Cricetulus griseus: one gene and its partner. The protein of the gene in region 1 interacts with the protein of each later gene in a biochemical or structural test. Links are inferred from orthologs where the notes say so. Each region holds a gene or a part of one and is shown on either strand. Other genes may lie near its edges.

The links.
Region 2: the proteins of Rala (region 1) and Exoc2 are reported together in a solved structure, tested with the Homo sapiens proteins (2 studies listed by BioGRID, with this or other methods). The link is inferred for Cricetulus griseus from reciprocal best matches to the Homo sapiens genes RALA and EXOC2.

What each region holds. Positions count from the first base shown.
Region 1 is NC_048596.1:240,540,408-240,543,205, forward strand, and holds the end of Rala (ras-related protein Ral-A), read right to left. Parts: intron 2,633-2,798; coding exon 2,510-2,632; 3' UTR 715-2,509; downstream 1-714. UniProt on the Homo sapiens protein: Multifunctional GTPase involved in a variety of cellular processes including gene expression, cell migration, cell proliferation, oncogenic transformation and membrane trafficking.
Region 2 is NC_048596.1:251,627,198-251,631,028, reverse strand, and holds part of Exoc2 (exocyst complex component 2), read left to right. Parts: intron 1-1,531; coding exon 1,532-1,677; intron 1,678-1,803; coding exon 1,804-1,885; intron 1,886-2,639; coding exon 2,640-2,742; intron 2,743-3,831. UniProt on the Homo sapiens protein: Component of the exocyst complex involved in the docking of exocytic vesicles with fusion sites on the plasma membrane.

The DNA of each region.
Region 1 (2,798 bases):
GCAAACTAAAAAATACTACTGCAAATTGAAGGCACGCACTACTGATACGTTCTTGACTCCTAAAGGAATTTGCAAAATGAACCTTGCAATTTCTGACACTTGTTTGGGAATTTTAGAGAATGCTTTGATAGTTCACACTTCAGGTTCATTAAAGCAACTGAAGTTAAAAATGAAACCTGACATTCTGATTTAGTCTAGAACTTACCTGTTTTGAGGTGTTTAGTTGAATTATTCCAGCTCTAATACAAATAAATGCACTCCTTCCATCACTGCTCAGCAGTTAAGGTAGTTAATCTGAAAGGATGTGCTCTTCTAACTCAAGTCTATTCAACAGTTAATGTGAAAGGTAACAGGGTTGTCAGGCACTCCTACTCACCTTTCGAAGCAAAACTGTCTTTGCAATGTTCTGATTGGAAAACAAATACAAATCTGCCATCTGTCCATTCTGGAGTTTAGAAGCATCTGAAGGCAAAGGCAGCTGAGATTTTTAACACAGTGCAGAGCCCATCTGCCAGCAACCGTACAAAGGAACCTCCCATCCAGAGCAGCAACTTAAACCTGAGCACCAACTCCGCCATAATTTGAGAAATCTCCCATTACAGGAAGGTACCTCAAACTGATGCTCAAAAGACTCAGCAGTCTTCATATCGGATCAAGATTCCCAGGGGGTAAAGTAAAAAATATCACACTGTAAACACCAATTAACACCACAAACATTTTTAAAAAAGGAAGTTTATTGGTCTTTAAATGGCTCAAATTGCAAATAAATGAACCGGGTAGTGGCATCAGCCTAAGACATGTGATGCATCTCTGTCAGCTGGCTTCATAGCACCTGGTACCCAGGGGAGGGAAATGTCTCAAAGCAAATTGCAATGTTAGTGGTTAGGACCCTGGTTCAACAGACTGCAACGAATGCACGCAGCCATGCTGGGCCTGCTGGCTGGGGTTACACAGGGAACTCTAATTTTGCAAATGGCCTAGTCTGTGAAAATATTAAATCAAACCCTTTAAGGACAAATATTTATGATATGCTCAATGTAGTATCTAGACAGCAGAGTTCCTGAACGCCTGTCTCTGGTAACTTCATGTACACACTTGTTTCCTGGAATGCCTGAGCATCGATTTGACCTGATGAGATTAGGACTGTGCATCAAGAAAAACTGTTTAATCAAGTGTCTTAGCCCCACAGAGGAAAAGAAAAATCTAATAGTGGTTTACTTCCCATTGAAATTACGCTCCTAACAGCATGCTTGAATTCTTGCAGCAGAAACCTCACAGTCTGACATTTGGTCAATGTGTGCCAAACATGTTCAACTGCTTCATGTTAACCTTAGGAAATACAGGTACAGTACTCATTGTGAACATAAAGAGATTACAAAGACTCCTTCTAATGCCCAAACTGTACCCTCATGAGTACACATTTAGAACTGACAGGTGGCAAGCATCTTTCCTCAAGTGTCCTAGTGCAAACTACATTAGCTTTCCTGATGGTCTTCCCTATGCCCTGCTCCCAGGAGATTAAATACTTAAAAGTGAATCACTTGCAGAAAGTGATTACTGGGGACCAGCATCTTACATAAAAGGAGCATTCACTCAAACTTAATTGGTATTCACATCCATAATCTAAAATCATTGTATAAACATATGCTGGCCCTTCATCTTTAACTACCTTATAGTTCATTAAAACCAATGAAGGAGCTCTGGAACTCTAAGAACCAGAGTATGGCACACATCTTTAATTTGGTCAGACTCCTAGCAGACACATATTTCTAAGGAATCTTCCTTGTAGCTTTACACTGCCTGGCAAGATAAAACCTTGTTACCAGTCATGTGGGCAGTGAGTGGCCCCAAGTGCTAGTGAGAACACACCCAGAATGATGTAACTGGATTATTTTCAGTTTCTAAATTAAGGCATATTCAAAAATGTCCATGTATAAGTTCACACCATTTTTCTAAGTTAATTACCAGGTAATTAATATGCAGATTCACAGATGAATTACTCTCAGTTTTACTATATGCAACAACCATGCCAGTAACTTCTTCTTCTAGATTTGCATAACAACAGTTTAAAAAGTGGTACAGTTAACATGTTCACAATTGTCATTTATCAAGGCAGTAGAAGACCAAGACATTTTAAAATAATATAAAATTTAAGCTTTATAATAAACACCAGAGGAAGTGGCCGTTCCTCCCACCCCACCCCATCTCACCTCTTGATTAACAGTTCAAGAAAGATCCCCCCTCCCCCCCAAAACAAGCTTACACGCTACATTCAGGACTGTGATAAATGTAGGCAATTATGAAATAAGTTGAGCTCTGCTTCTTGTGAAGCCACACAATTTCTTTTTTAAGTGAATTTGACTTCCAGTGCAGTTCCAATTCATGCTTTTAGTGATACATAACAATTTCCAAATGTTAGAGTAATTTCAGTCAATTGAGCCTTCAATGGCAATGCTTATAAATTACATTTATTAGTATGGTCAGGATAAGAAAGGAGTTTGGGCTTTGATTATAAAATGCAGCATCTTTCTCTGATTCTCTTGGCTAAACTTTTCCTCTTCTTTTTTCCATTCTTTTCTTTGCTGTCTTCCATCTTTCTGGCTCGAATTTCCCTCATTAAATCAAAAAATACCTAGAAATAAGAAAGCAGAATAAATAAAACAAGCAGCAGCATGAAGTCAGTGCTTCTGTGTCACAGCAGCTAACTTTGGGGATGAAAGAATCACATGTAAAAGTTCCTTTAGGGGCTACTCACAGGCTGGCAGGTGCTGCCCTGCCTCTAAGATGGCTTGTTGGTG
Region 2 (3,831 bases), about 11 Mb from region 1:
CTTGCATAAATTCAAATTCTCAGTTCACAAATTTTGGCATAAATTGAATTTTTTCATAGTTGATAATTTCTTCCTACAAAAAGTATATATTTAATAGTATGTTTTCTACCTGTTCTTATTTTCATATATTTGGGGTTAAAATTATTAGCTGGGAATTTCTTGTTACTGTAATGAGAATAATTCAGCTTTGAACTCAGACTGTTTGCTGTGTTCTTTTGTTGCATAGAAAAAGGAATTTGCTGGTCTAAGACCAAAACTTCACATATAAATAAGTAACCCTTTAAAAAGATTCTGTTCCATGTGCTTATCCAGTTACAAAGCTTAAACTCATGACATTTCTATTTTTAAAATGATAAGCAAATGCTTTAAGATAGTTTTTCTTGAAGAAAGTTTTTAAATTCTAGTCAGATTTCAAATACTCAATCAAGCCTTTATTTCGCGGCTTGGTGGTAAGAAGGAAATGTATTTCTCATCCCACAATAGAGGTTTAGTATCCACATTAAATAGCATGTGGGAAAAACAGCTCTCTTGACCAAACGAAGTTTTTATATCAGACCTTTACAATTTCAACAGAATTTAAACATTATTTAGATAAAACAATCATGTTACAAAGACGACTTTTAACAGGATCAGGCCACCCACAGTGTGGCTATGGTGTGCAAGCCACCCAGTGAGACGAGGTGAGTTTTTCATCTTTGCTTAAAGTATAGTCACTAGACCAGATAATGTAGAAACTTTTTACAAGCAGGTCAAACAGCTGAAAGCAGTTTATCCTCTCTCTTGTAGCTAATTAAAAATAATTCACATGTTGCAAAATTTAAACTATTTCTGTATATAGCAAATTTTGCCTTAGAAAAATAGCATTCATTAAAGTGATACGTATAATTTGTACTTTTTAAAGGAAAGAATCTTATGAAATATTCTGTTTGTACCTGATATTATAAAATTCTGCTGATTTAAAAAACAGTAATGATACTGTGTTTTGGTGTTGTCATTTAAGTTTATATAATCCTCTGTCCCTACAACATAGAGGGATAATTCTGTCGAAAAGTAGGGTTAGGTATAATGTCTTAAAAATTTTTTTTTTTCTGAAAACAGTTTCTCATATCTCATTTTTTACCTGATAGTTTGATACAGAATTAATTGAACTTAATTGGTGTGTGTGTGTGTGTGTGTGTGTGTGTGTGTGTGTGTGTGTGTGTGTGTGTTCCTCATTGTCCAAAATAATGAAATAGCCTAAGCACCCACAATTGCTAAAAAATTTAGAAGAGTAACTAAAATAAGTATAGATTCACACTGGAGAAAATTACTTTGGCTTAGTAAATGTTGTTACTTTTAATTAGATACTTTTCTTAACATATGAAAGGACTTAATTTTTTTTTAGCAGACTATGAAAGGTCACTATATAAGTGTCTTTTTAAAAATGTCTACTGAATTTCAGTGTAAAGATACAGTAGCAATCTAACGTTTGTATTTAGTGTTCAAATTCAGTTCGCTGTCACCTATGTTCTTTTTTGTCTGTTGGAAACAGGAGCAAGTAATACTGCTGACACATTATTTCAAGAAGTGTTAGGTCGAAAAGACAAGGCAGATTCCACTAGGAATGCACTCAACGTGCTACAGCGATTTAAATTTCTCTTCAACCTTCCTCTCAATATTAAACGGAACATTCAAAAGGTAGAGTTTATGTGTATGTACAGTTATAGATGCTGCCCACCTTAAAGATGTGTTAAGCTATTTTATATTAATCAATGTGCTTCCTGTTCTTTGCTGACGATCTCACTGTGTGCTTCTTATTTTTAGGGGGATTATGATGTGGTTATTAATGATTATGAAAAAGCCAAGTCGCTTTTTGGGAAAACAGAGGTGCAAGTTTTCAAGAAATGTAAGACTCAAGAATTTGTTACTTTCAGACCTTTCCTTTCCTTTTGTAAGACTGTGGAGTGTATATTCTACAAAGAGTGCTACTTGCATCTTAGATCTTGTTTATGCAGTGCTTTCTTTAAAATGTAAAACAATTAGTTTAAAATAACCTCACAAGTTTTCTTACTGCCCTGTAGTGGGAATGAGCATTTATGGTGGGGACTAGTCTCAGATATTCTTTGCTGTTTATTAACCACAATGCTATTAAAAGCTTTCATAGGGGAAAGAAGCAGCGACAAGCCTTTTACAGACATGGAAATGTGCACTTCAGTCTTCCCTCTTCAAGCTAAAACAGTGTATTTATGAGTTCTAATCTTACTCTAAAGCAAACTCAATACGTTTAAAAATTACTCTGCATACCAGGCTTACAGGGGGAAAAAAGCTTAAATATCTTTTGGTTAAAAACTTATTAACTAGGAGAAATACCATAGGTCTTATTAAATTTAAAAAGAATGAAACCCATAAACTCTCAAAAAGCAGGATTTATTTCTTTACTGTGGTGAAATTTCCATGCAGTGAAATGCACAGACCTTACATGTCACAGGTCACTGAATTCTGACGAATGCTTATGCCCTCCCATACACTTGGGATGGTGTGTTTTGATCCCTCCACAAAGATCCCTTGTGTCTCTTCAAAGTCAAAAAGCAACCAGTATTCTGCTTTCTGAAATTTGATTTTAAGTTCAGTTCTGTGAATCTTGAATCTTTTAAAAATAGATTATGCTGAAGTAGAAGCAGGGATTGAAGATCTAAGAGAATTACTTCTAAAGAAATTGCTGGAGACCCCATCAACCTTACATGACCAAAAGCGTTACATAAGGTAAAACTTAAGAATTCTGATAGATTGCATGTATATGTGGGATATATTGTGGACCCTGCAAAGCTAATTTGGGGGCAGTCAGGAAGCTAATGAAGTGGTGAAAGGGAAGACAATATAAATTTGGGGGGATCTGGTATAGGACATGAGTGTTCTTTGAATACGAATAAATTGGGAACAGTTATAAAGAACTCCCCCTCTGAAGGAAAGACGACCCGTCAGGCTGTCCAAAGGAAAAGCAAGCTCATTGCTCAGTCACCTGTTCCTCCTGCTGAGTAATGGTTACCATGTGACTCCCAGGTGGACTGGGTGCTGCACCCTGCAGATGCCACCCATGCTCCACAAGGTGGTTGCTCCACTGTGGTTTAGTGCAGAGTACTAAATCCTCCAGAGTACTCCTGGGAGGGAAATTGTAGCTCTGGAATGTGCCATAGTTTGACGGTAACAAAGGCTATGGAAGGTTTCCCTTTGAATATATGTCTATTTGCAAGCCTGCAGTCATTGAAAGAAGTAGTTGTGGGAATATTAAGTTGGGAATACTTTTAAAAAATTAACCAGTGGAATCAGAGGAGTTGGACCTTACAGGGTAGTAGAGAAGCTGAGGAGTCTGGGCATGTCTGTAGGAATGAGAATTTCATTCTGGGACACTCACATGAGTCCTGCACTTCCATTTTTTCATCTGCAGAGAGAGCATGACAGGCAGCACAGCTGCGTCTCAGGGTTGTTGGGAAGGTGACCATTTAAGGGGTTAGTCCAATACCTGGCATGTTAGGAGCAGGCAGTAAGTTTTATCTGTACCTAGCTTACACCCGTACTTGGAGATAAAGCATAAATCATAAGATTTTCGTATTTGAGATTTAAAAGGCTGATTTATTTTCTGCTGTGTGGTCTGTTTTCAGAACAAGCTGTTCTTTCCCAAATTCAATGACTTCTCTAATTAGTGAAATTTATAAAAAAAATTGGTAGCTTAAAAATGAAATAGACTACATATATGTATACATTTGCCTCTGGCCATCTTGTGGCCATTGGAAATACTGTCCTTAGGCCTGGGAGGATATCCTGGCCCGAACACTGTTGGGAGGGACTAAAGAC